Linked DNA regions of Mytilus edulis. The protein of the gene in region 3 purifies or fractionates together with the protein of the main gene of each other region. This does not show direct contact. Links are inferred from orthologs where the notes say so. Each region holds a gene or a part of one and is shown on either strand. Other genes may lie near its edges. The genes, in order: la-related protein 7-like, U4/U6 small nuclear ribonucleoprotein Prp3-like, squamous cell carcinoma antigen recognized by T-cells 3-like and peptidyl-prolyl cis-trans isomerase H-like.

What was found.
Region 1: the proteins of squamous cell carcinoma antigen recognized by T-cells 3-like (region 3) and la-related protein 7-like purify together in Homo sapiens (affinity purification with mass spectrometry; 4 studies listed by BioGRID and IntAct, counting the BioPlex papers as one, with this or other methods). This does not show direct contact. The link is inferred for Mytilus edulis from reciprocal best matches to the Homo sapiens genes SART3 and LARP7.
Region 2: the proteins of squamous cell carcinoma antigen recognized by T-cells 3-like (region 3) and U4/U6 small nuclear ribonucleoprotein Prp3-like purify together in Homo sapiens (affinity purification with mass spectrometry; 5 studies listed by BioGRID and IntAct, counting the BioPlex papers as one, with this or other methods). This does not show direct contact. The link is inferred for Mytilus edulis from reciprocal best matches to the Homo sapiens genes SART3 and PRPF3.
Region 4: the proteins of squamous cell carcinoma antigen recognized by T-cells 3-like (region 3) and peptidyl-prolyl cis-trans isomerase H-like purify together in Homo sapiens (affinity purification with mass spectrometry; 3 studies listed by BioGRID and IntAct, with this or other methods). This does not show direct contact. The link is inferred for Mytilus edulis from reciprocal best matches to the Homo sapiens genes SART3 and PPIH.

The regions. Positions count from the first base shown.
Region 1 is NC_092352.1:62,371,129-62,378,377, reverse strand, and holds the start of la-related protein 7-like, read right to left. Parts: upstream 3,019-7,249; 5' UTR 2,944-3,018; intron 1,651-2,943; 5' UTR 1,647-1,650; coding exon 1,554-1,646; intron 1-1,553. Other genes in the region: uncharacterized protein, read left to right, coding at 3,415-3,583. UniProt on the Homo sapiens protein: RNA-binding protein that specifically binds distinct small nuclear RNA (snRNAs) and regulates their processing and function.
Region 2 is NC_092354.1:9,891,545-9,899,455, reverse strand, and holds the start of U4/U6 small nuclear ribonucleoprotein Prp3-like, read right to left. Parts: upstream 3,018-7,911; 5' UTR 2,906-3,017; intron 1-2,905. UniProt on the Homo sapiens protein: Plays a role in pre-mRNA splicing as component of the U4/U6-U5 tri-snRNP complex that is involved in spliceosome assembly, and as component of the precatalytic spliceosome (spliceosome B complex).
Region 3 is NC_092349.1:30,327,918-30,335,651, forward strand, and holds the start of squamous cell carcinoma antigen recognized by T-cells 3-like, read right to left. Parts: upstream 3,020-7,734; 5' UTR 2,979-3,019; coding exon 2,817-2,978; intron 1,026-2,816; coding exon 899-1,025; intron 1-898. UniProt on the Homo sapiens protein: U6 snRNP-binding protein that functions as a recycling factor of the splicing machinery. Promotes the initial reassembly of U4 and U6 snRNPs following their ejection from the spliceosome during its maturation.
Region 4 is NC_092356.1:36,863,652-36,871,396, forward strand, and holds the start of peptidyl-prolyl cis-trans isomerase H-like, read left to right. Parts: upstream 1-4,728; 5' UTR 4,729-4,768; coding exon 4,769-4,840; intron 4,841-7,745. Other genes in the region: solute carrier family 23 member 1-like, read right to left, coding at 738-853, 1,904-2,061, 3,305-3,634. UniProt on the Homo sapiens protein: PPIase that catalyzes the cis-trans isomerization of proline imidic peptide bonds in oligopeptides and may therefore assist protein folding. Participates in pre-mRNA splicing.

The DNA.
Region 1 (7,249 bases), on a different chromosome or scaffold from region 3:
AGGTGAGAGTAAAGATCTAAATCAAAGAGCAGATTGCTCTGAGGGATACAATTGCCATTATAAAATGTAATTTACGTAATCTGAATAGGTACAAAATAGCCAATCCACTGATCCAAGGAAATTAAATATTTAAAGAGTTAGGAATAAGGGTTCCTCCTAGAATTAAAGTAGGAAAATAGGTGATAAGATACGAAGTGAAATACCTTCTCTCACTCTGAGTCTCAGTGACTACTGTGGAAAGTAAACTTGGAATTGATGGTACAAAAACAAAACACATTAGGCCTAAGTACATTTTTCATACACTTGTATCCGGGATTGTCTATTTTGTAACTATTCAGATTACGTAAATTACATTTTACATGTGCAGTTGAACTAGTTTTGAAAATAATATCATCCAGCTACATGTATACATGTGTCAATGAAAACAATGGCAATCATATCCCTCAGAGCAATCTGCTCTTTGATTTAGAGCTTTACTCTCACCTATTTAATGATGGTTCTCTATTTCTTTATGGAAGTACAATATCAAATATCAGTTTCATAACGGTGACATATAAGAAAAACTCCACTTCAGTTCTTATGTGACAGAAATAGATTTATCGGCATTCAGAGAACTCTCGCATTTTTATCAAAACTGGTGAATTCCCTCTGACGTGTTTCTAAATTTATAAAAACACTAAATATAAATACTGCTTAATTCTTATTTTCCGTGTTGTTAAAAACATGCATATAAGTCAAGAGAAATATCAAACATGAAGATTATGAAAAGAACATTATAGGAAAGTTGTTTAAGTTCAATCCCTTTGTTTGTTTTTACCTTTTAAAGCAAGACAATCATAAGAATCTGAGATGTTCCTTAATGTTTAGAATAAAACAGTTGACATGAGGGCATGGCCCTGAGCCAATGGTATAAGTCTACAGATTGCTTAAAAGCAATCGTATCCCAAAAAAGTCCAACACATGTTCATGTCCAAGTACCAAGTCAGAAACCTTGTCTGTGGCTGATCTGGGACATGTGCTTAACATTTTTTTTTTATCCAACATATATAATATACAACAGTACAGTTATCAAATAGCAAGTAAATATATATATATATAAATGTAATATAATACAACTCATCAGAAAATGTATAGAACTTGAAAATAACATAATCAAAAGACACATGAAAGACATTAGTTGCCCATCAGAAGTCTTTTGTATTTTTTGTGTGTTCCATTGCTGCCTCATTGCCATATACCCCACCGTTCCTCATTATCCTAAACAAATAAACAGGACTGCAAGAACAACAATCAAGCCACATTAACTTAATTATTGGTCTACCACTGATAAAGATAATAGGGAAGGACAAAGTACTTATAACATTAGTTTAACCCTGTATGAGTGTTCATGAGTTTGTCCTAACATCATGAAGTAATTTATTTTGTCAAGTATTTTCAATTACTTTTATAAATGTTAACTTTTAATGTCTATCAAAACTTTGGTAGATATAATTATATATAATAACTACATTAACTCATTGGACCATTATGACCTTGAGACTTATTCAACAAACCTGTTGCTTGATACGACCATATAAAGCTTTCATTCTTTTCCTTGGCTTCTTGTCCTTTGTAGTCTCTTTATCTAATGTTTCTGTTCCTGCCATAACACTGCAAAAAATATTATAATTTACTATGAAATACAATTTTCACCTCACATCTTAATTCATACATTTTGTCTTTTTTGGTATATTTAACTGTGAACCCATTTTTTTCATCTATGATCTTAATAAATATGTGTATAAGAAGATGTGGTAATGCATGTTTAGGGGCCAGCAAACATGGCTAAGCCCTGCTCCAGGTGTTGGATTTTTTTGCTGTGTTGAACTTGTACATGTAGACCCATTTGTCATGTTTTTGGCCTTGGGTTGTTTCTTCTTTTTGGTCGGGTAGGGTAGTTGTCTCTTTGACACATTCCTCGTTTCCATTAATTTTATTGTTTCGAAAAAGGAACTACATCATTTTTGTACATCGTATTACTTAAAAAAAATCATTTTGTCATCAAGTGTGTATTTTAGATCTGCTGTGAATGATGTCTTGATTGAAAAAGTCATTTGGAATTCCATTCATGCTGCAATATCTCATTCTGTATTTTAAAAGGCTAAAGGCAGCTTGTATTGTATTACAATATACTCATCAACTGAAAGTTGGATCCACATAAACTCAGCAAGTTTTTATTTGAAGTTGCCTTGTTTGCGTTTTATATTTGAAAAAAACTTCATCTTTTCATAATATTTTACGAATACTCTATAACATTAATCAATATTGATACAAATTTTTATAAATGAATATGTTTTTTCATTTGTTTCTTCCCATTTGTTTGATGAAACATTATATTTTACTCCCTTCCATCAAGGAAAAAAACCAATTGTGGATGGATGAATTGATCCAAAATTCATGGATAAATTGTGGTGATGGGATCCACAGCCACAGCACCTTTATAAATAATGAGCACTGCCACCCAAAGCACCTGTTCAACACACAGAACTTGTGTGGTTCTCATTTGAAGGGGATAAAGATGTATATTTCACACATTCTATATATACATGATATATATTGTTTAAAACAATTTATGATGAAATGTAATGTGTAATTTAATTAATTACATTTTAAAAACTGTGTAATGTGTAATTAGTGTAATTCATATTTTTGCAATGTAATGAGTAATTTAATTAATTACATTCCAATGTAATTGACCCCAAGTCTGAACTTAAAGGTAAGGTAGTGGTCCCGAAACAAATTGTGGACGAACTGGTAATGAGGCCGAAACGTCTCAAAACGACAAAAGCTTCAAAAATACAGTCCTCTCATAACTCATCTACATTGCTATAGGGCACATGCACTGCAGTCATGAGTGGCAAAGTTTACTTAGAAAACTAATTCCACTTAATTAAGAGAATCTACCTTCTTTTAAATTTCCTTCTATAAAATAAAGGGAGCTAACTATACAAAACACGGAAATGTTACCCACTATTTTATTGGTTTAATTTTCAACTTTAACCAATCAACATCTATTTTATATCTCCTTACAGAGGTCTCTGGGGAACTCGATTCTCCTTTGCAGATTTAGCGGAATTTTCTAAAGTACAAATGTAGCTCACATTCAGTTTTACAAAGATTTTTATATTAGCATATGCTTCTTTTATGCATCATATACTTTAGTATTCTTATCAAAACCTTTAAATTTTCTATCCGGTTTACCTTGATTTTGTTTATCGCCGGTCAAACGACCGATATGCTGTTTTGGTCAGAATCGAGCCGGCCTAATAGAATTCCTGTAACTACATCAACTACACGATTTCCCCTACCACACAATTATAAATTATATATGGCATGATACGGAAGCTAGGTCATATGAAACGCACGTAAATTAGAATGACGTCAAAAAATGATGATTATCCCAAAGTTACGTATAATGAAGGAGTTTCTGCAAAACCAACTGGGACCTCGGAACACCAGCTTCTTATGCAGGCAATCAGTACAAATGCCGGACAATTAGTACAACAGCTTATTCAAAAGAATCCCCAGGTTGTCCATGAAAGAGGTTTGTTTAACACTTACATGGTTCACAAATTTCACTCAATGCATATAAATATTTCCAGAAGCACACAAACAAAGCTCCATATAAATTGGTCCTTGATTTGTTATTTTTAGCTCATAAATCCTTAAGCATTGTTCATCGTCCTCCTCGTCAAACCTGGGTAAACTATTTCAAACATCTTCTTTGAAATAACTGAACATTCAAACCAAATTTTAGCTGAAAGATCCAATAATATAGTTTGTGTTTTATTTTTCTGTATCGTCAAAAAACATCACCGCCATGGCTTGAAATAGAACATAGGGGTAAAATGCAGTGTTTTGCTTATATCATAAAAACCAAAGCATTTAGAGCAAATCTGACAACAGGTTAAGGTGTAAATTAGGTGAGTTAGGTTCTATATACATGATATATCAGTCAAGAAATTTTCAGATGAATCTAATAACCCATTGTTAGGTTGCTGCTACTAAATTGGTAATTTTAAGCAAATTTTGCAGTTTTTATATGACATTCTAATACATGAAATATGACATGCTTTTTTCGCTTTGTAAACAACAAGTGATAAGATTCTTGATATATCTATACTTAGCGCAGACTCAGAGATATACAGAATAATGGCAGTTACAATATACTTCCCATGTAAATCTACATGTATTGGAACCTATTTGCAGACTCTTTGCCGATTTTATTTTTTTAAAAATTGCAATAAAAAAAAGACAAAATAATTGTTATTCCTTTTCGGGTACATAATAAAAAGAAGTAATGAACAAGAGCTCTGAGAAATCAACAAAATAAAAATAAATTCCGCGAAAGTCTATTAATGCTTTTGGCGTATTTAATAATTTCAAAACAAGACGTCATACAAATGAAACCACTAGCGTTGAAAGTTTTCTGTTGCGTGAACCATTGAAATTTGTATGATATTGTATTAAAACTGATTTTTGGAAAGATTGGAACTTGTTCTTAATCTTTCCTTAGGCACTGGCCTCCCTAACAACATGACAGGTTTACTACTATTACTGCATGTATTCACACTGAAATATAGTTCCCTATAGTTCTCATGTATGTGCACATAATACACATATAAATTGTGAAAAATGGGTATATTTTTTGGAGCAGTTTATTCAAGAATGTATGTAATGAAGGTGTGTTGATGTGCAGGCTTTTTTTAAGCATTTTGATTAGGTAATTGAGTATTGATACAATACTAGTATGATTGACAACTGTCATTATCACCAAACATGGACAAGGTGGACCTTAAATTACAATGCCCCACCTCCTAAAATGTCAATCAAATTGACCACATTACTTATCAACATCAGTGTTACATAATTGTACAGACCCAATAAACATCTCAATACACAAATATTTGACCTCATAATTGAATACACAAATGTATATATTAGATGTTTGATATATAAGGATGATAGATTTATTTATTGCCTATTACTTTTGATCTACATTACATAAAGTGATTCTGTAAATTATGTCTGAAAGATAAATGATTAATTAAGGATTAACACAATCTTTTTAGATGTCCCCTTGAAGGATGGAACGGAAAATTTTGCTCTGCTGAAATTCGTTGAAAATGTCGTTTTAAGTTACAGCTGATTTTTATTCCTGCTTGAACCCTGCTGTTTATGCAATTTTCAGCAATACTGTTTTATTAATGTTCTTTTGTCCCCACCATACCTTAATATGAAATTATTCAAACTACTCTTCCAATCTTTCCACAGGTGCTATCCAGCACTTTGATTGAGGTAGGTTGTGTTTTATTTTCTATTCTATTGCATTATTCGCATTATTTACAGATTTCAGCAAGTCATCATGGTGACGAAATGTCAACTTAGGATTTGACGGAAGCTTATGAGAAAAACATGTAAATTAAAAATGGCAAATGTTGGGTTTGAGAAATAAAAGAATTTTTAAGCGGTCTCTGCGGTTATTCATGTAATAATCCATGATAGCTACAGATTTATTAGAATGTTTGAGCTTTATCTAACAGGAAGTAAAAAAGAACAGCCCGACACACTGCATATCCACCCTCGCTTCAGTTTTTTAATGACCGTATTTGTCCTATTAGAATTGAAATAATTCATGGAAGCCATAGATTGTTGGAATTTCACTTGGCCGCGATATCCGTCAATTTTATCCCTCGCTCAGGAATAAATTTCGAATATCATGGCCCAGGCCATGTGTAAATTTCCAACAATCAATGGCTTCCATGAATTTTTTCTTAAGCAAACATTTTTGCAGTTGTACATTGGTATCATGTTTTTGTCATCCGAAAACATTTGGTTTCCGTACAATAACTTTAGTATAAGTAAATAAAAAAATATATAAAATTTTAACACAAGGTTTATGACCACAAAAGAAAGGTTGGGATTGATTTTTGGGGTTAAAGTCCCAACAGTTTAGAAATAAGGGTCAAAAGGGGGCCCAAATTAGCATTTTTCTAGTTTCCAGACAATAACTTGTGGAATGGTGTATGGATCTCTCTGAAATTATACCACAAGATTCAATACCACAAAGGGATTGTAAGAATTGGCATTGGGATGCATATATGTTATGGCTTAAACCGTTGAGGAATTAGTTGCAAAAAGGGGTGAAACAAGGGTGTCCTTCTTAATGGACTATTACTGAAGTACAAACCCCCCAAAAAAGGGAGGTAATTCAAACACTACATGGTTGAATTACCTCCCTTACACTGCTTTTAAATTATGTATACAGAAATGTTGTATTGTCTTGAGGTAATAAGCTGTCAATTTTGTTTTAATTTAATTTTAGTGTATTGCACAAAAGCAAAAAAAATAATATTAATTCAAATCACTTAACCAATTCAAGTTCTTTGACTACAGTTTATATTCTGTGTCAGAAAACTATTGTGTGTCAAATATTTAATTTCAAGCCAAATTCAGACCTTTATCAAATGCGAAGATTGTGTCCATTATGTCCCATCTTTTCAGGACCTCTGCGGTTGTATCCAGCTGCACTTGTCGAAGCAATTTATTTGCAATGATGGTTATTACTTGAATATTATTAATGATATAAAGAAATGATAAAGAAAAACTGTGAACAGCAAAAATGTTCATCAAAGTGAGATCTACAAATAAGTTCTTTAACCAAAATTGTCAAGGAGTTATTGCCCTTTAAGAACAATTTTACACAATTTGTTGATTATGTTTTCTAACTTTAAAAAATCTTCTCCTTTGAAACTATAGAACCAATGCCAACTAAAGTAAAGCTGAATGACCCTAAGGGTATCTAGAATCAATTGTGTTTTTTATTTTCTTGTACTTATATGGCTGCCATGGCTAAAAATAGGCCATAGTGGTAAACTGCAGTTTTTGGGGAAAGGCAGCTTCAAGCCTTCAATCCCCTATGTGGTTGACCAGACGGAGATTGATGAGAAGGAGACACACAAATGAATAGATGGACTTTAAACACTTTTTTTTTACACATTTCCCTTCTGTTTCTCGTGAAATTATTGTATCTTGAGCTCTCCTTTACACTATTTACGTTTCTTTTACAATCCAGAAAAATCAGTATGACGAGATATTCTAAATATATCCAACCTACATTATGTTTATTAGAGACGTCATTGTTGGAATGCCACACTATGTAGCAGCAGGGATATCCTTCACTGGTTATTTAAATCAGAGTTTGTGCACC
Region 2 (7,911 bases), on a different chromosome or scaffold from region 3:
AGGTTATTTTTCAAATCGTGTAAGTGCTGGTTTGACATTGTTGACCAAGTGTCAATTTGACTTTTGCTATATTTGTTCTATAGGTGTAAATTTGATGTGTACCAAATTAACCTTAACACCTGCCTAATATAATCAAAGTGCTTGAAAGCACTGAATGGTAAAGATTACTTCAATTTATCAGTGGGAAGTAAAATTAATTATTACATTGTTGTAGTTGATTTAAAAGCAATTCTAGACAAAGGAAAGAGAACACCAATTTAAAAAAAAATGATGTTAACAATGACATCATTCTTTTTTTATAACAGATATTAGATTCACAATTCATGCACTTTGCAAATGTTACATGTATATAATTTTCTTGACTAGTGTATCAATATTTTGTGCCTTGAATATCTGAGCATACATGTATATAATCATAAAGTTCTTGAAATGTTGACGGATAGGATGTATAGAATGTTTTTGATCATGTTGATCAATGCACTTGATTTTTTTGTATAAAAAAAAGTAGTGACAAGCCTTTGAACATTTAGATACATGTATCAAGTCAGTCCTATAAGGTTTTGATTGCATTTCATGCTATCTTTACCTAAAAATATACTGTTTATAATCTAACGACTTGTGCTTTTTCACAGATGTCAAAATTTAAATAACTTCAATTCACAAATAAGAATTTTCACTTAGGCGAGTCCATGAGTCGTGGACTCATAAAAATCTGTCTGGACACACCATTTTTAAAATTGGTGAGTCCAAAAAAAGATGAATAAAGAAATATTGTGTATAAACTGAACAAATGTATCCTCATTTTATACCCAAAGTTTAAAAGTAGTCTGAATTTAATGTTTTTTCATTACCCTATAAGGTCATAGAGACTAAAATAATAAATTATATTGCAATAATATATCTTCTTCTTACAATGGAACTCACCATGTCCAAAAATGACAAGTCCCTGCACTCGCCTTCAAAAATTCTTAGCAAGAACCCTGACAAATCCTATCCTCATCTCTCTAGAATGACACCAGGTCAACTGGGGCAGTTTATTCATAAAATCAAAATTGGAACTCCATATTTGATGTACACCATCCCTAAGTGATATTGTTGGCTTTTTTCAAAACTATCTCTACCTTTTTTTTATTGGGAAATATGCATCATTTTTATCAAATTGGGAAATTTATAATAAACCATAAATTTGACTGGAACTTCAAGTTGTAGATCCCCTTTCAAGAGGTAAACCCTCATTTGAAATAAGACCCCTTATTATCAGTGATGACACATAAATAGACCCTCAAATATGAATATATTGTCATTTTAGGCATAAAAAACGTATAAACATGATAAATGGGTGTATTTCAGTTTGTATTCATGCACAATTACTACTGACATTATTATGAAAAATAACTCTACAAATTCTGTGAAAAATTTGTCTTTTTGGGAATAATTTTTAGCCATTTTTTTTTCAAATTGGAATTCTTCTCCAGGGGAAAAAGCCTTTATTCTCCAGTAATTTAAGGCAAACAATATCACTGATTAGTCATTGGTATATGTGATAGATACATAACCAGCCATAACTTGCAGTCTTCACATTAAACCACATGTCCTACAGCCATGGCTTGTAAAATTGTTGTTGAGCTTGTGAAGTTCTTTTCTACAAGCCAACAGAATCCAACTAAAAATTTGGTAAAAATGAGTTTTGGGCTTGTGGATTCAAATGTTTATTGTGAAAACAGCATAAGCGACTGAGCTAGTGAAGTACTTCAATAGCTCAGTGGATATACATGCTCACTCAAGGCTCCTGGGTTCAAGTACCAGAGGAGACAAACATCAACGATAATTATATGGGGACGAAGTCCCAAATTACGGTAGAAAAATCAATAAAAAAAAAAAAAAAATCAAGAAAATTTCCTGAATTTTTCATTCTACTAATGAACTCAAAATCGTTAACTTTTTTTTCAGATCTACTTCCTGTTCCGGTTTTCTCCGCTTTTGCGCAGATATCTGTCTTGTTTGCATGAGACTTTGAAAAAAATTATATTTATCAGTCTAGTAAAATATAAGATTGGATCTCAATACCAATTCAATTTTAATAATTGTTTGATATGAAAAAACGTTACCTGATGAAAGCGTTTCTTTTGTGTACATCGAATATGACGTCATAACTTATAGAACGTCACAGCTAATTCCCTAACAACAGAATCAAAATCGGGAACGTTACGTACGGTATTTCGGTTTCTTTTATCAACGTGATTGAATTAAAAAATAATACATACAGTCTACAGACTTCGTCCCCATTCACAGGTTATGCCTGCCTCATATTAGAAAAAGAATCATGCTCTACAATTACATTGTTGCCCAACAATAAAATCATGGTTAAAAAAGAATAACCCTGCCAGGAAAGTTACATAAAATGAATATAGAGAAGTTCTTCTTGAGCATGTTGAGTTCAGTCAGTAAATACATTGTCTTGTATCACAGAGGTCCCTGAATAGTAAGTAAGTATTAAAGTAAGTAAGTAAAACTTTATTTGGATTCGGCATATTGACAAACAGTACAAACATAAGCTCTAAATATTATGAGCTTGAGTCCTAGGGAGACCAAGATGATTTTATATTCATTGTAAGGAGAAACATGTTTTCCGTTTACACATGAAAGGTACAATTATTACTAAAGTATTAACTCAAATTCTTATTGTATTTTGAATAAGAGTTATTTTTCATAATGATGTCAAATATAAAAATAATTGATGGCCATACAAAAAAAATGTAAAATATCAAATATACAGAAATTATTCCAAGGAAAACTTGTTACTGTGGTTTTCGTTTTACAAATATCAGCATTTGGATAGTTATTTATTTATATAGACTTCATTATTTCAACCTGAATTATATGATGCACTGACATGTTTACTTACAGTATTTTATATTTTTTAACAGTATTTTGGAAAAAAAGATCGTGTTATTATCGAAATGCTAGCCGATCCTTCTTGAAACGGACACGCTGATTGGTTGACAGGGATGTTTCGACCAATTGAAATTACTTACACAACAACAAACTATATAATAAATAAAACAACACGGAAAAGCAAGTTCCGGGATTTGCGCAAATTAATAAGGATAATGATGTTAGAAAATTAAAGAGAAAAGTAAACTTTATGAATAAAGTAAATTCATTATTTTTTATTAAATGTAAAGGGGGGGGGGGGGGGGGGGGCGGCGGTGTGTAACACTTATCAATTCAAAGTTTTAAAAAGTTTTGAAATCTTAGATTTTTGGAATTTTGATCAATGTTTTTAAAAAATATCAAAAATCCCAATTGTGTAAAAGTTTTGAAATTTTGAAATTTTAACCAAATAATTAAAATATTAAAATTCTAAATATCGTTTAAAAATTTGATAGTTTAGTAATTTGGTCAAACTTTCAAAATACTAAACCTAACGTGCAATTTTGATTATCTCACTTTCAGTTGAAAGTTTGATTTTTATATTTTTGATTAAGATATCAAAATAGAAAAGGGGCGAAAAGAGGGGTACTTATAAACTGTGAAACGAAATAGAAGCGTTTTCTTACGCTCAAATTGAGACTAAGAACAAATATTAGTAGCTTGGAGCCAAGATACTGTTATAAGGTATATATCAACATAACCTCATCATTGATAGATACCAGGTGTCCTGGTCCAGGACATGTGCGTAGCTACGTTTACGTCAAAAGGTCTCAAAACGTCCGGGCGTACTCTTGAATTTGTTAAAAAAAAATCATATAAATAGAAATAAAAGAATTGGTTAACAGTACATTAACCTTTTATGTCTCTCTCCAATGGCTTGCAAATGCGAATAAAAGTGACGAAAATTAGTATCATATTATTTCTGTCAAATTCTAAATCTACCGTTAATTCTATACTTATCTCCTTTATTTTTTTAAGCAATTCATTATGAGCTTGGATTCGATATGTGGTTTTCATTTCTTGTCGAGCCATTGACATTTATGTCGCGAAAGCGAGCTATTTTGATCGTAAATTTCGTCGGCGGTACCAAAATGATAACTATGTACACTCATGCAGGTTCATTATGTTCTTTTAGTTTTAAGATATATCAATAACTTTGTCAAACATTTGTGAAATTTTACGGTAGCTGGACAAAAACTGTGTATGCACAAACGAGTATCCAGAGCATAATATCGAAATTATACATATATGATAAGTTTTCCCATATTTTATAGAAAAAGAATAATTTCTTTTTGCACTTAGTCTAACGTTAAAATCAATTACATATCAATTACTTTGTTAAACCTTCGTCGAATTCAATTAAACTTCATTGAAGTGGTTTTTTTTCATGGTTAATTTCAGAAACCAATTTTTTTTTCGTTTATTTTTCAGATTTTTTTGCAATTTAAGTCAGACGATCTGGCCACCGTTAAATCACATATTCTAATGCAACAACGTTTGTAACGTTCATTTTGATTGGATAACGTCACTTTCTTACATGGCTTCAATTGACAATTGATGCTATGGGACGTACGCGCAAGCGCAGACGGCATATGGCAGAATTTAAATACATGTTTTAACGTTGTTTTCTGTCAGTTTCATTAGAATGGAGATAACAATATTGTATTTTAAGCTCCGACGGCATCAATTTGGGATTTGATGGTCGCAAATGCCCGTTTACTGTCTCCGCTAACGCGTCGCCAGTAAACTTAATTTGCGACCATCAAATCCCCAATTGATGCCGTCGGAGCTTAAAATACAATACAGTTATCTCCTAATTGCACAGAGAGGCAAGCTGTCAAATACTTGTAAGACCTAGTAACGCTGCTACATCAGATGCAGAAGCCATCGCTCTGCTATGTTCAATTTCAGATGAAAACATTTTATGAAAGAAGTCGAGAACACTTTTCTGCGATTGATCCATCTTGTTTTCATAAAGTAAAATAATCCTAAATGAAAGACCACGCATACTGCTTCGGTAATGAATGAAGGTTATCCACGGCTCCCTTTAATCATATTTAAGAATTGAATGCTTCTTTTTGTAAATTTATTGGGGTGTAAAAGCGTTGACCGAAGTACATTTTTTATTCCGCGCTTCATTCTAAAAATGTGTGCACGGTCAACGCTTTTACAACCCTATAAAGTTACAAAAAGAAGCATTCAATACTTATAATTACATTTTTTAGCTATGATCATGAAAACACGAATTTTATATATTTTTTTATTTAATTCACCTGTGCACTTTATTGTTGGACCACGTGTTATCATGAATGAAAAGTTGTATTGAGCATTGCAACTGCTTACGGAATAACACGTGATGTGCATGCAGTTAGCCAATCAGAATAAAGTATTATAATGAAACATACATCTAATGTAATTATTTTAAGGTAACTGGTTTGGACGTTTACTCCAAATTAAGCCAAAGACCGCCATTATCTTCTAAATAGATTTTAAACACAATGAATAGAATAAACATAGAAAATAAATTATTTTGAATCTAAAAAATGTTGTTATTGATGAGTTTTCAATGACAGGAATTTTATGACATTCTCGATAACTCTAAAACTTCCGGAGGCTTGTCCCGGCTTATCAACTTCCAGCAGGTTCTTTGGCATGGAACCGCTTTTCCGAGGTTCGGGCATACACGTAAAAATGATCTAGCTACGACACTGACAATCAACTTTGAGCAAAGTAAAGGAACACAGGTATGTCCAGTCAGAATGGGACATGATGCATGATGGATCTTTCCATTTTTGGCCATACACCAATGTTACTCTCGAAAAACCAGTACAATGTAAAATGCTGAATTTTAAGTCACCTACGGAAAGCTGCAACTAATTATTTGAAAGTCAAGTATTTATAAGAACCGAAACAATTGAAGAGGTGTTTGGCCAAAGTGAAGGTAAACGTAACAAAATCCATCTATAAGGGCTACTTTGCCCGAGAGAGTTGAATCCTAAGTTTCTTTGTAATTTGTATGTAAACAACCTATTTTGAATTATCGATTTTTGGTTTCCAGTGACAAATATTTCATGAATGTTCAGGAACAAATTAGCAATAAATACAACAGGAAGGGATTGTGCTTGTTATTCATTTGACGAAGACATAATATTTTGATTAGTTTGTTTGGAGTATGGAGCTGGCATGAGTCACTAACTTCTAGCTTTATATATAGTATATATATATAATTATATATTGTTAATTTATTATGATTGTCATTTTGAATAGTTTCTTTTGTTTCCTATTCTGACATGAACTTTGATTTCTTTTAAAATCCGTTTGACTGCGTATTGCTGCGTGTTTGTTTTTTGGTACATTGGCTAGAGGTATAGGGGGAGGGTTGTGATTTCACAAAACATGTTTAACCCCGCCGCATTTGTGCGCCTGTTCCAATTCAGGCGCCTTTTGCCTTTTTATTCTTGTATGATTTTAACTTTAATTCATTGTTATATTTCGGAGTTTAGTATTACGTCTATTATCACTGAACCATCACTGAACCATCACTGAACCTTCACTAAACCAGTACACTTTTATGTCTAGGGACCAGCTGAAGCACGCCCGCCCAGCACAACGTTCATTACGACACCATTAATAAAGTATTCCTTCCGCATCGTTAATTGGAACTGAAATCAATCATAAAAGGCAAAATATTATCATCATGTAAACAATAAAAAAGGAAACAAAACGTTTAAAGTTGCATGCGACCGAAGCGCTTTTTCTGGATCATCAGGAACGTCAAAAAGGCGAATAATACTATTTGGCCTATTGCAAGTTGATCAGTTTTCACTGTTACTTCTAAATTTTGGGCACTGGATACACCAACTATAGCTCTGAATTATTTATCTCAAACCCTTACCTTATATTAGAGATTTAAATCAACCTATTTGATGCTGGTTTAAATAAGTTTTTTTTTCAAAAGATGCACTACTTTGAAATTTCACGATACTATTATCCAATGTGATGCCTGACAATGCCTGATAGGTTTTATAAAAGAAAGACTTACTCTTTTAATTATTTATTTTCTAATTAAAAATGATTTGATATATATATTTCGTCCTAACTAAGAATGATTATAATCAGAGCCGTGTCTACAATTACCCCTCTTTTCGCCCCTTTTCTATTTTGATTTCTTAATAAAAATCAAACTTTCAAAAAGTGAAAAATTTAAAATTGCACGTTAGGTTTAGTATTTTTAAAGTTTGATCAAATTACTAAACTATCAAATTTATAAACGATATTTAGAATTTTAATATTTTAATAATTTGGTTAAAATTTCAAAATTTCAAAACTTTTACACAATTTGGATTTTTGATATTTTAAAACTTTGATCAAAATTCCAAAAATCTGAATTTTGAAAACTTGTTAAAACTTTGAATTGATAAGTGTTACACGGACCGGGGAGGGGGGGACTGAACACCCATTTGTGGGAATAATTTGTTTGACTATATAGGAAATCACTGAAGCATGACTGAAGAAAAGGGGCCCCCTGTTGGTCAGACAGTTGGCCTCCCTTATAAAAAGTTCTGAATCCGCCACTGATAACAAAACTTAGGGAACTGAGAAACAACTTTTATTTAAATTGGAAAGTTACATTTTTAATGAGAAAACGTTTTATATGATGAAAAAAATAACTGTTGATGTACCATGATGTATATAATTCATTTTGCACATGTTGCACTTGGTCACATATTTTTTTTGTAATTTTTTCATGGCAATACACATTTGAATTTATATAAACTTAAAAGCGTTGACCGATTCAAGTTTTTAGAAAAGACAAAGTACTGATCATGACATATAACTACAAAATAGCCGAATTAGTTTATCGTTGGATAGATGGTCACTTGGAATTGCATACATTGAAATGATGGAAAAATAAAGTTTGTCCCGGATTCCGGGAAAATAGCATCTATAATTCCCAAGTCTCTTTAAGGATGACCT
Region 3 (7,734 bases):
GCTCTTAATGCTTTCGTTTTTGAGATATAAGCCAAAAACTGCATTTGACCCCTATGTTCTATTTTAAGTAACGGCGGCCATGTTTTTTGACGGATCAAAAATCAAAGCACACACTTTGTGCAGGATAATCTAAGGAACAACCATGCTAAGTTTTAACCAAATCCATTCAGTAGTTTCAGAGGAGAAGATTTTTTAAAGTTAGCAAATATGATGAACAAATTGTGAAAAATTGTCATTAAAGGACAATAACCCCTTAAGGGGTCAATTGACAATTTTGGTCATATTAACTTATTTGTAGATCTTACTTTGCTGATCTTTTTTGCTGTTTACAGTTTATCTTTATCTATAATAATATTCAAGATAATGACCAAAAACTGCAAAATTTCCTTAAAATTACCAATTAAGTGGCAGCAACCCAACAATGGTTTGTTTGATTCATCTGAAAATTTCAGGGCTGATAGATCTTGACCTAATGAACATTTTTACCCCATGTCAGATTTGCTCTAAATGCTTTCGTTTTTGAGATATAAGCCAAAAACTGCATTTGACCCCTATGTTCTATTTTAAGTAACGGCGGCCATGTTTTTTGACGGATCAAAAATCGAAGCGCACATTTTGTGCAGGATATACTAAGGAACAATCATGTTAAGTTTCATTCAAATCCATTCAGTAGTTTCAGAGGAGAAGATGTTTGAAAAATTGTTAACGACGACAGACGACGACGACGACGACGACGACGACGACGTCGACGACGACGGACGCCAAGTGATGAGAAAAGCTCACATGGCCTTTTAGGCCAGGTGAGCTAAAAATGATTGAGAGAACTCTGTATTTATCCATCAATGAAAATCATTTTCATTTGTCAATAAAATGTGAACAACTTAGACTCCTCGCATACCTTCTGCCAAGGGAAATAATTCACTCATTCGTTGTCTGGCATCTCTAAGCTGTTCTAACTCTCCAAGTTGTTTTAATAACTTAATTAAATCTATGTGAACATCATACAGGTATGGGTTCTTTGATATCTGAAAAATAGACTACACATTTAATTACAGAACAGGGCAAAAAAGTTTTGGATGAAAATATAAATATTTCAAGAATGAAAAACTTCAAAAAGGAATATTGCACAGTGGAACTGTTTATTCGATGCAACACCATCGTGCATTTCCGATTAATAATCTTTACTAATTTTGCAAGATTTGGTGACATATATATATATTTGATTACAGGTTAATGGAATTAGTAAAAAGTTTCGATGCTTACTGACTAGTGAGCGAAGTATGCCTAATATTGCAGTTATATTCAGAAGAATTGTTTTAAGTCGATACAAAAATTGGTGTAATTGGTAAAGTACTGTTTTTAATTTAATTCAATATAATCATTATCCTGATTATAATGACTAGTTTTAAATCAAATCATTAGATTATTTATATTTGGTTTGATTATTCAACATTTTCCTGATGATTATGCTAAAGTATCATTAATAATAATTAACTTTTGAGTTTGTCTGTCACCAGAAAAAAATTGTCAATTATGTGCTCCTTTATGACGTCATTTACCAGATAGTGTGCAATTTAGCTTTATAGTTTTCCAAACATTCTCTAAACATTGAAACAGAAGTGACGACGCCCCTAAATGCAGACATGATGTTTATTAAAAACAAAGTTTTTGATGGAAATGCATTGAACTCAAAAGTTGTCTATTTAATCAAAATCATGAGTGACAAGATCTTTATAGTTTGATCTTTAGTAATTTAATTTATTGTAATGGTGGTCACTTTGTTTACTTATCTATTTGGGGAAATTGGTTAACTTTATAATTACTTATAGTTCCGTAACTCTTTCTTCCGAGACCGGCCATGAAATTATCCTTGTCGGGACTTCCTGTTCTAGCACGTGCCCGGCCGGGCTCGTTGTCCATAGGAACTATACGCATATGACGTCACTCACCGGGTTCGGGACAGTCTACACTAAGGATTTGAAATGAGCAGACGCTCATATCGTTTGGCTTTCAAATATGGAACCTTTATTTATACAAGTAGACTAGCCACCACCGTATATTTATTCATTGTAAACTGTGCTTAATCTATTTGGCTGAGATTAAATCTATATTATGAGTAACGTATTCTGTTTTCTAATATTCCCTGAACTCGGGAAACTTCCACTCCCGTTACATTATAATCAAAAAAATGTCTTATCTATTCATAATCATGATAATGAAAATATTCCTCAAGAGATAGCTTTTTCGACTGTCAAGCTTTCATTTTATTACAAAATTCAAAAACATAAACAGCTTTATTTTTTAATGCTTAATACAAATATTTTTTGTTTTAGGAGGGATTGACTTTAGATGGATCATCTTGAGACGGAACAACTTGGGACAGATTGACTTTGGCTGGATCGACTTGGGGATAGAATGATATGAAAACAAAATATCTGACGCTGCAATGGAGAAGTGCTCGTTGTATGATGTCAATACACCATATCGCTAATCCTGGCTGACCCGGCCGCTTGAACTTTTGACGCATACAACAATCACTTTTTCATTGTGGCGTCAGACATTTTGTTTTATGACGTCAAAATTTTACGGGAACCTGTGTGATATCCAGCAATGGCTGACAAATGGCGATAAGGTGTATAGTTCCACCACACAGATTCTTAATATTCGACCGGTGCAGATTTCGAAATAGCGATATAATGTATTTGTTATGGGGTTTATTATGTGAGTTTGGACCTCTTTCAATACCAATAGTAAAGTCTACTAAAGATCAGTAGAGTAAGGCTTTGGCTTCAGTTTTTGCTATAAAAGTAAATGACCTGTTTCTGAAGTTCTGCAACCTGTCTCTCCGATTCCTCATTTTCGCTGTCAGAGTCATTGGAATCTGAATCTTTCTCGCATTCCATTTCTACATCTGCCTTTTCATCGTCGTCACTATCTTGCATTTCTTTATTATTTTCGTTTGAAGTAGAGACCTCCATTGCGTTTAAAATACGAACTAAGGGAGGTAATTGTGAAAAATGCTATAACCAAGGAAGCAGATACGGTATCGGGTCCTTTGTTCGTTTGTTATCTTTCACGTTTACGTTATTAGTATGCAAAGATTATTTAACGAAAAGAAAAAGAAAAAGTTGTACATGAATGCATAAAAAGGAAGATTCGTGACAAAAATATGTTTGATTAATATTTTTTTGGCAGGGATATTGGAAATCTTAGTCTAACTTGAATTAACTAAATTTAACTATTTTCGTGGGTATCTATTTTAGTGGATGGAGGAAAACTTGCATTTTCGTGGGTATCTATTTTAGTAGATGGAAGAAAACTTGCATTTTCGTGGGTATCTATTTTATTGGATGGAGGAAAACTAGCATTTTCGTGGGTATCTATTTTAGTAGATGGAGGAAAACTAACATTTTTGTGGGTATCTATTTTAGTAGATGGAGGAAAACTAGTATTTTCGTGGGTATCTATTTTAGTAGATGGAGGAAAACTTGCATTTCCGGAGTGAGTATTTGATTTCATGGTTTTGCCAATCTCTACATACAAAGCATATAGAACATTTGTTATTCGTTGAACATTTTAATTCGTGGTTCACACACATGTACTATCGAAACAAACACAAAAATTGGTATCCAACGAATAATAATGACTCCACAGTACCAGTAATTTATTGGCTTGCCGGTATCATGGGCAAAACAAAGGAATCTTGTGGGGAGGTATTTTTTAAAACTTTATTATCCAAACTGTGGAAGAGCTGGATAGCTCCATATCTGTATGCAGAAGTCTTGTGGTTTTTCGTCTGATATTTTGTCCTAATTTTGAGGGTCAATAACCAGGGTGTTTATATAGTAGTTTTTATATGTTATATTTTTGGTATTTTAATTAATTGCAAGGTATATATGTCCTTCATACAATGATAACATCAGTGGTCTAGCTTTTGTTAGCGTGTTCACTCAAGTTGGAACCCTGGCATGTCAAAACTGGTGTTTGCTGCTGCTCTTCTTGTGGATTGAAAAAAGCAGGGTTCATATATTCATATAGCCAATACTCTTGGAATATGAAAATGCTTCAAGCTGAATGCAATGCTCTTAAAATATGCCAATGCTTCAAGCTGAAACCACAATTCTTCAAGCTGAAACCAATGCTTCAAGCTGAAACCACAATGCTTCAAGCTGAAACCACAATGCTTCAAGCTGAAACCACAATGATTCAAGCTGAAACCACAATGCTTTAAGCTGAAACCAATGCTTCTAGATGATGCCACAATGCTTCAAGCTGAAACCAATGCTTCTAGATGATGCCACAATGATTCTAGCTGAAGCCAATGCTCCTAAAGTTTGCTAGTGTATCAACTACAGTCAAAGCTTTTAAAATATGCCAATTAATACAAATACAAAACGACTATTTTATTGGCGCAAACTCATTAACAAATAATGGTTAAGACCTATTGTATACATATAATTATATTAATTGACATGGTAGAGTGAAAAGTTACATGATAACATATCATGATAGAATGAAAAGTTACATATTGATTTATCATATCAGTACACTATTTCTTATATTTAGATATTCTGATATGAAAGAGAAAGACAGTCTAATAATGCTGAGCTTATTATTGATATCAGTGGTAATGTAAGTGGGTCTCATTGGGGTCTAAGCGTGACGCGGGATTGCCGATTTTTTGTAAGCGTGACACGTGAAAGTCAAATTATTGTGGCGTGAAAACGGGAAATTAGGTCTTGCGGGACCCGGGAAATGAAAAAAAAATGAGAATTGCTTATGTACATAGTGTAAGCGGGATACGGGAATCTGACAAAACAGTAAGCGGGATCCGGGATCGGAACCCCCCAATGAGACCCCCATGTAACGCTGTATTTAGATAACTTTTATTTTATTTTCTAATATTTCTCGTTTTGAGGTAAATCTATGACATTGTCAATAAACTTAAATTGATGCTCTGAAGGTAACACGATACCGAATGGCATATCTCCCGATTTCCAAACTTTTTGGCACATGTGTTCTTTGAATTGAGTTATATCGGAATATGTAATAAAAAATGGGGGTCACCATTTTTGTTTTCTTGGTATTTTCATAGGAAAACGTCAATTTTGGCGACAAATTTACCTAGGTATATAGGGGAAATGCCTTTTTTTCGGCTTAACTTTTTAGATTTTCCAATGGATGGCTATGTTCTTATATACGGAGAAAAACAAAAAACTAACATAATATCCAGAATTGCATACTGAATCCATACACGTATAGAAACTCATATGTCACCATCCTTGTTTTTGAGATAAATGGCTTCAAAGTTGATTGATATCATTAGAATTGGACCGAAAACGTGTGACGTTATTGAATACAGAATGTAACGTTACGGTATTACTACTCAGAGATATTGAAAACAAAATATGTGTCGGGATCTGAATGGTGTTTATTTTATTTTTTATTTCCGCTGTCGGGTTTCGTTAATTTCCTAGTAATGAAATACACAATTCTGCTGATATAATTTATTTCGTTCTGCACCTGGAAATTTCACTCACATGAATTACCCATTAATCTCGTCTGATTTTCATAACGAGCATATACTTGAAACTTGCTTGAACTGGTTGGTTCCACGTGAATCATGCATAAATCAGGTACACGTTGAATTCACGTAAATTTTCAAAATAAGATTGTTAAAAAATTTAATTAAAATCATGAAAAATACCTTCATATTTTTGTAAAGTTCACGTGAAAATAACATGAAAAATTTCACGTGGGATTCATTTGAATTACTGAGTTTTTAACTCCATCATTTAAGACAATGGTGGTGTCGTTGCTTCATCCATGCAGAAATAGAGTACTTTAAAAAATTTGATTCAGTTAACAGTTTTATAATTGATCGGTTTTTATAGTTTTATAATTGGTCTAAATAATTTCCCCCAATATAGCATTTCTTTATATTTTTTTTCATAAAGGAGCCTGTAATTCAGGTGGTTGTCGTTTGTTTATGTGTTACATATTTGTTTTTCGTTCATTTATTTTTTACATAAATAAGGCCGTTAGTTTTCTCGTTTGAATTGATTTACATTGTCTTATCGGGGCCTTTTATAGCTGACTATGCGGTATCAGTGTATATAAAGTGTGAATCCAGCTAGTTCATTTTCACTGTCATATGCGGGTATGTCTATTGTAGAATAAAGGATCATGGGAAAACTGTATTTGTTTACGTTTTGAAAATACCAAATTAATTGATTTGAAGGAAAGTTTTTACATATTTTCATTGTGATATGTCTTTATTATGTACAAACATAGCATTAAAGTTCAAATAAGTGTTATAAAAGCAACATAAGCGATCCATGCCAAGAAATTGCCTCTGTTGAAATTTTGCAAACATCCCATAGAGCAAATTACATGGATGATTATTATTAACCATTTGGTATGTGGCCGTGTTCTAAGCGACACGTACATGCAGGTCATAAATTAATTTGTTGAATGAAATCCAATCTTTAAACTACTAATAGGTGCCGCAGGAGGTCAACCAGAATTTTTAGCGAGGATTTCTTGGCATGTAACAGATGAGGGCCCTCATGGGGTTTTTGATTATGTGATTACTTGGCCGTTTTTTTAATGATTATTTGATTATTAAGCCAAATATTTCATGATTATTTGATTACCTAGGACTGTATTTTTAGTTTATGATTATTTGATTACTAAAGATAAGCAAATATTTAATGATTATGTGATTATATTGGCAAAAAAATGGTGATTATGTGATTACTAGGACCCCCCCATGAGGGGCCTCACAGATAGAAAACTCAGGGTAAGAATTTATAGAGCAGACAAGGTGCAGTGGCAAATATTTCATGTATATTATGAACACAGAGAAGATAACCCCGGCACCCTTTGCCAAAAAAAAAAAATCTTTTTCATCCATGTGCCTTTAGACTTTATGTTTTGAATTGTAGTTTCACTTTCCATATTCGGTATTCATTCTAATGTAAGCTCCACGTGGCAAAAATCACGTGATGCAGGAATATTGTATCTTGGAGTTAGGCTATTTCTTTCTTTTCGGGCGGGGACTCCAAGCAGACAACATGCATGTTTTATAACGCAACTGTATATTTTTCTTATTAAATGAAGAAAGTTGCCGGTCCAGTACAAGGATAGATCGGTTAGAAAGCAAGGTTTTAATTTTAATTAGAGTGGAAAGCTTAATTTGAGAGTTAAAATCGGAGAGGACGAAAAAAAAGGGGGGCGGGTTCTTCCACAGGGAATATTTTTATCTTAGGAACTCTACATTAGAAAGTTTTTTTTAATTATTTATTTAAAAAAAAAAGAAAGGGAAAAACAATTGTATGGCAAATTGTGAAGGTTCTTTCTTCCTTTCTCCCGTGCGGCTATCTCGCATATATCTGGTTTACCGTCAAACCGAGCGCATGCATGTCTTTTTGGTTGTTTCTGTCACTAGGTGGCTGTATCATTGACGTTTATCCCATATTTTCATATTGAAGCACAATGCACACGTAAATATTGTTTTAGAACATGAATTTAAAGTTTCATGTCATGCATACTAAAGTAAAGAAAAGCAAAAAAGCGACTCAAAGAACTAAATAGAAAAAGACGAAATGATCTGATTTTCTGTACCTCAATTTTTTTTAACTGAAACAAAAAAAAAATGTCTTCACTGGGAACTCTCGAGCTGAAACCTACACTCTTCAGGTTAGCAGGGACAATACTCTGTCTTTAATTTTG
Region 4 (7,745 bases), on a different chromosome or scaffold from region 3:
CAATGCATAGATATCAATTTAAGACAAACTTATATATAGTAAAGACATAGATAGATAGATAGATAGATAGATAGATAGATAGATAATTTTATTAACCAATCATGGTGCCCAAAATTTGAGCTATACAATCAAATGAATTACAAAATAAAGCACAGAAAATGATTAAAGTACATTTAAACAAAAAACCACATGAATACACATTTACACTAATTAACCTGATATAAACCAAGTTATTGACAAAACATAGTTTTTATGGGTGTAACCACTTTTTAGAATCTATATTAAAAGTGATAACAAATTATATAATGAGGGATGTTTTAATACTGTACTCAGCCACGTCCGGTCTGGTGTTCAAATGCGTCCATGAGTGTAAAAGATAGATCTGCATGGCAGTTTTGAGCCTGTATATTGAAAAAACTATTTTTCAAGTGGCAGACACAATTACTCGCTCTGTATCTGTGTGACTATTTTTCAGATTCTATGGCATGGGTTTTCAGGACGAAGTCAATAACACAGCCTTTGAAAACTAAAACAGCCATTTAAAACTAAAAGAGTAAAAAAAAACACAATGCAAACTTATATATAGAAGCAGAAGCAATAACAATCAATTTAGATCTAAAGTAGAGTTAAACCTCCTGCAGTCCAAAAAAAGGCACCCGTATTCGTTGCAAGTAAAAATTAAAAGTTCATGCATTAAATTCTCCAAGTTTACCTTTCGATGGAGAAAAATAACCTACCGCCTGTGTTGTTCAGAAAACTATTGTGATCTGAGTTACATTTCCACTCTTCTAGGTTTGTTATAGCTAGTAGCGGTATAATGTAGGCTGTGGTTGGTCCTTGATATACAGGCATTCTGAAAGTGTAATCAGTAATGATAATTGAATCCATCAAAAGTGGAAAGCAATAGAGGTAGATATCAGAATATATTACGGATTACAAATGTGTCGAGGTTTGTGATTGGATAACAACACAGAGATGTCAGTATATATTCAGGAAACTGCCGGGGTATATACGACGTTTTTATCCCCAATTGGAACCTCAAAAACGTCATCATAACACCGGTTACTATGTGACGCAGTCAAAAGCTTTCAGACTGTCAGAGGCTCACAGAGGGAAAATAATGACATGCTTCAGTCAATAATACATTTTTGATACAAAATCACGCAATTTACACTTTTAATACTTAAATTTAATGTTAAAAGTGTTATTATAAATTATTACATACACGATAAATTATGTTCACAGCAAATTAGAAAATCCTTCACGTATGCCGAACATATCAGGTCAGGTTTTTCAATATATATGTGTTGTCAACAAATACCTGCGCTGGAAAATAACATTAAGTCAGGTATAATCCGTAATATATGTGTAATTCAGGTCTCAGAAAGGGTATATACTGTGACATTCCCGGCTTAGGGCTTATATCCCCTTCGCCTTCGGCTCAGGGGATATAAACTCTAAGCCGGGAATGTCACAGTATATACCCTGTCTGAGACCTGAATAACATATAATGTGTATAAAGGAACAAGCATAATAAATCACAATAACCGAAATCGCATCATCGATGAACCCATTTCCGAATAATTAGATTGTTAAAAAGTTTTGGAATGGGTCCATTATGTTGTAGGTTGTAATTGTCATATACAATATGGTTTTTTGGTCTTGTTAAAGATTGGTACCATATACGTTGTGAGTATATTGGTATTAGTTGTAGGATGTTACAATATACTGTATGGGTATTGGTACCAGGTCTTTGTTGAAGGTTTTTAACCATATACAGTAGGGGTATTGTCTCTATATGCCGAACACACAAGAATAAATTGGAACTCGTCCTAAATAGATTGACTACATACTATTGATACTTTGCGTAAACGATCCATTACGGGTACATTCAGCTTATTACCTTACACCAAATGTAACTTGTACAAATGTTGTCAAACCACTCAATAAAATTGTAGTTGATAATAATCTAGCTTTCAATTCGTCATCATCCCGAGCACAAGTTACCTCTGCTACCAATATTACAAGTGTCAGATTCCATGGCAATGCCAACAGTGTGTTCTAAAAATACAACCAAAGCTAAAAGATGATATATGATGATGTCCGAAAATGACTTCGGTCTGTTTACGTGAATCCAAGAAAATTCACCATCACGTCACAAAATTGCAATGATTTAACCTGAATTCATCCACTTTACTTTTGTACAGATATAAAATTTGCTCTTTGTCTTTTAGTAGAGTGCACAAAGAAGCATGCGGACTACACAATTTAAGTAAAACATAGTATTTTCCTGAAAAAAGTGTCTCTTGATTTTGCAGATAATTAAGATAAGAAGCTTAGTTTCAATCTTTAGTTAGTTAATTTACATATAGCTACCCTTTGATTTAAACATGCTCGCAAAACGAGTATTGATAGATCCGACTCACTGAATTCTTAATTCAGATAAGTCTATTTTCATTTTTCCCCACAAAATGATTCATGTGTAGTTAATTTTTTTACTATCTTTATATAGAAAAAATGAAACTGTCCAGCACAACAGTGGTCTTGATTTGTTATCCGTTAATGTCGTTCCAAATTCACAGCAGGATTTGGTGAAAATATAGGACGAGGTATGTTAATTAAATCTCATTCTGTGATATAAACTTTTTTCAAGGTAATTGAACTTAAACTTCTGTGACCACGAATATATATCCAATACTAGCATCACAGATGAAACAATATGATTGAAGGTCACAACAATACTGCATCATGGTCACAGCAATACGGTACCGGTTTTGTTTTCTGATATGTTTTAAAACAAACTCTTTAGTGTTCAATACTGTTCGAATTCAGACTACAATTATTATTTCCAAAATAAATACATTTGTTATTCCCAAACTTCATACAATTGTTATTTCCAAACTTTATACCATTGTTGACTGAACTTGTACCTGCATTAAAGTTACATGTGCCATGCAGGTAAACCAGATGTTGAAAACTTTAGACACACAACAGCACAAATTTACATAGAAAAAAATGTAAACCACACCACATGGCCAAAACGGAAATATATATAGTCGCAAAACAATAAACCATTGCAGAAAAAGTAACAAAATTGATACGGAAAAAGTATTGACAGGGAAAATGTTCACAATTTATCAGATAAATATCATTTCGGAATATATATACTCTGTACAATTATATGCACAATGAGTATAGGCTCAGGCATTTTAAATTTAGAGCTATTCATTTAAATATAATTATAATAGTTATACTATATATAGAAATGGATATTAAGATAATCGAACTATATAAAGATTCTCACCTGAAAAGCAAAGAAAAGGGTGGACTGCAAAGCCGGTCTGTCGCTTACTTTATACAACAATTTAGCTGATTGGTCTTCTATCACAACAGAGTCAGATTCAGGGTCTTTCTTTTCCTTTAGATTTGAATGAATAAGACAGTACTCTTCTTGGTTTTCTGAATCACAGTTCTCTATTGACCGCTCTTTGGTCATTTGGAGTTCCTCATTTTTTAACGCCTCTGTGTCTTTATTCTGAGTCTTATAGATTGGTGCAATTCCTTCACTGTTCATTATCATTCCATTATCTATTGTATGGACATCATCATTGAATAAGTCATTCTTTGATGTCATTTTGAATGACAATATATAGTGTATGCTTATTTACCTTATGTAAGATCAAATACCATTATTAACACTTCTTACTGTATATTTGTTTTCGGTGGTAGCCGTGACTCAAGTTATCAAGGAGTGATAGTGAATATTTTTTCTACATTATGCATAGATCAAGGCCAAATCTAGGTTGACTTTAAGCATGTTAAGCCATGATTTGTTTACTAGTATATGGTTATGGTAATTTAGTGCACCGATTTTGAACCTGTATGTTGGCTGCAAATTAGGAGTGGCTATAAATGCAATATGATTTTGTTTAGATTAAAATGCCGTGGCACGAGTAAAGCCACCATGTTTTAACTAGTTTCAAAATCACTATAGTAATATTTCATTGATACAATTTTAAAATCTCTCTGCCTTAAGAAAACGGTCACGTTACACAGACCACGTACGTAACGGGTATATGGATGGTATTTGAATCTATGATCATGTATCGCCATCAGTTTGATAATAAAATAGCTGAAATTTATCTGTCAATACTTTTGGGGCATGCAGACCTAGCCTGAATGTTAGCTATAGTCGGTCATTAGTAGCGAAGACATATACTATGTTAGTTTGTCTATGTTTGTAATGGGAACAGTAGGCTATATCTAATTATACTTTTGTTCCTGGTATTAAAATAAGCTTTTGTTTAGATAAAGAAAATCTGAATAAGGTGTTTTGTGTCAAACTGATTTATCTTACCATTACGACCATTTTACAATAAGAAAAGATAACATGTAGACTTTATAGTGAATCTATAGCATGCGCCGGAAAGTAAACATCAGTACGTTGATGGTTTTCTGTAACAAAAGAAGAGAAGAGAAGAAGATAGTGAATGTACAGTAACACAGCCAAATGTTGAAAAAGAAAAAAAATAATACCAGGCTACCTTGGGTTGTACAAGTCAAGTTTAATACTTCTATATATATGCTTATATTACTATTTTTTATGTGAATTGAACAATTCTTATACACTCCCTTTTTTTCTACTCATATTTGTTTAAGTAAAAAAAAAAAGCGTGTGTAAATTTCAATTATACGGAAGTCCGTCTGATTTAACTTAGCTTTACCCAACTTAAAAGTACGTAAAGGGAGATAATAAAAAGCCGACAACATGTCGTATTCAGAAAAACCAAATAACACTAACAATCCCGTTGTTTTCTTTGATATTTCCATTGGAAACACAGTACGTATGATCATTTGAATATCTTCAATACACAATTACACGCGACCGACATGTTATGGTTTAAATAGAACATAGTGACGATTTTAGAAAAAAAAGGGGGGGGGGGGGTAAAACTTATTTTGGCGGAATTTTTTTATGGAGGCGGTGTTCTAAAACAACAAAAAATAACACGGGGAGGTGAATGGGCACTCTTTATATGCATAGACGTGTCATGGATTACTCTTTGTTTAATGTATCCTTTTTCAGGCTTAAACATTTGAGGTTTTCATTTATGATTCTTGTTCTTTGGCTTTGCTGTTAGCATTTATAGGGGATGAACTTGAAGTATGATTGCCAAGGAGACAACTATCACAGTTATTAGTATTCAAAATATGAGCATTTTCACACTATGACTATAATCTTAGTTTATCATAACAAATATTATATGGCTGTATTATATTTACACCTCAAAAACTACTCTGTGTACAGACTTACCTGTCCAGTTGGAAATGTTTTAATGCCTGGCATCCACTATATAGATATATGAAAATTAAATGCATTTTTCATTTCAGAAAGATTAAATCTTTTTTTTGTGTTTTAATGGGCATTTTTTTTCATTCCTGCACAAGGTATAAAAATAAACGAAGTGATTTTACAACTTGGAGATGTTCCCTCTCAGGTATAAACAACTCTTTTTTTTATTTAAATTGATTGTCATGGACAATAGAAATCTACACAACTATAGGTGAGTTAAAGGGTGTAATTGAGTGGACAGTATCAAATGCAATTCAGGTGGTTTTTTTACACCTTCTGCAGGAAGGGAAAAAAATGCCCATCAAAATCCAGGAATGATTTATTTTTCTGAATCACAAAATGCGTCTAAATCTTAAATATCTAGTGGATGCCAGGCATTAAAAACTTCCAAACAGCACAGGTAAGTCTGTACACAAGAGTAGTGTTTGAGGTGTAAATACGGCCATATTTGTCCATTTGTTACAGTCAGGGGTACTACTTGTACAAGTGTATTTTATTTACTTAAAGAAGTGAAAAAAAATATACACATATAAGTAAATAAATAATGTTTGAATAATCTCCCCTTAATTTTCTGAAAAATTTACTTGTATAAGTAAATTTTTCTTACAATCCAACAAATATCCTCAAGTTTTGAGATGTAAAATCATGCCTTTAAAATTTTTTCCCAGGTTTGCTCAATTTTTTTCATTAAAGATCAATGTTTCATCTCATTAATTCATCAAAGAAACTGATTGAGCAAAGATCTTGTATATTTGCGCAAGGCCTTCAAAAATTGCTCCTTTGGGGCTTGTAAATGAGCAGTGTTAAGAAGATAACAAACAAATGGGACTTTCATTGTCCATGAAATTACACTTAAATGATTAGTAAAGACATCTGTAAAGGGTACACAATTTAAAATTCTATTAGAGCAAAGAAATCTTAAGAATTCAAGAAAAGAAGAAAGGATGATTTTTTTACTTATACAAGTAAAAAATTCTGAATGCCTAAGGGACATAACTAAGCCAATTTTTTTTTTACCTATACAAGTAAATAAAATTCACTTGTATAAGTATCCTACAAATTTACTTATATGTGTATATTTTTTTTTACTTCTTCAAGTAAATAAAATACACTTGTATAAGTAGTACCCCTGACTGTGTTATGACGAATCTAATTCAAAGAAAAAAATTACAAACCTCTATATTTATATTTAATGATAGTTTGATCTGTACTACATTTGTAAGTACTAAAGTATAGACTATAAAATTTTAAAAAGGCACTAACATCATGAACATGAAAATGGAAACAATTCAAATGAGAAAACTAACAGCCTAATTTATAACAGAACCATTTATGAAAAACAACTATGCCAGACTATGAGCTATCTACAACCACTGAAGTACCATGACTACAGGTTTTTGACATAGAACAAGCACATAGAAATGATAGAGAAGCGGTGGGGTTAACCATATTTTTGTAGGCTCTCATTTTTCCTCTAACCTTGGACAGGGATGTGACATCACAATAATAGAACAAACTTTAAATACCAGTTGCTTGTCTTAAATTATGGTTCCAAGGATCAAAATAACAATAGATACCAAACACCGGATATGAAAACAAGGAATTGTATAAAAACATAGAGTATCTCAGAGCTCCAGATAAGCTGCATATTTGCGTGATCACGCAATAAAAATTATTAAAAACCCAATGCAATTGCCCATTGCAGGGTTCAATAACCCAATTAATTCAAAGGAAAACCCAATTATATGCCAAAACCATGAGTTTTTAACGCTTTTACTCGCTATCATTTGTGTTATTTAACCTTATCTGATCACAGTCGTAGCGTAAATCTATTTTATAATATTTATAATTGGAAAAATTCTATCGTTCTAAAAATAGAAGTTTTTCGAATTGCTCGGGACTTATCATAACATACAATGATTTAAAACGAAAGTAAATGTCCGCATGTTTTCATCTTCTTTCTTTTTGATAGCTTAGGGAAAGTTATGATAATAACAAAACTCAGCTAGTGTTTTTATGAAGCATCCATCAAACACACGTGCGTGTTTGCATACCTTAACGAGAACATTGCTAGATAGATAAACACAGGGTTACGTCAAAAACTAAATCAGTTGTAAAGTGAAAGGTATATCTCAAATCTGGGAACTACTTATTATTTTTTTTTAAAAAGTAGGTCTGGCAAATGGGTGAAAGTACTGGCAAAACTTCCTTACAGCACCTAAATTTCACATAAAAATCTAAACACTTAACCGGACCACGCCTACCCCAACTAAACTGTAGGGTTATCATATGGGATCTAGAAAGGTAATAAGTTACTGTCCAACTAGTGACACCAGTTGCAGTTTATATAAGTTGTGAGAAAATAAAAAACTGGAAGAACGTTTAAAACGGG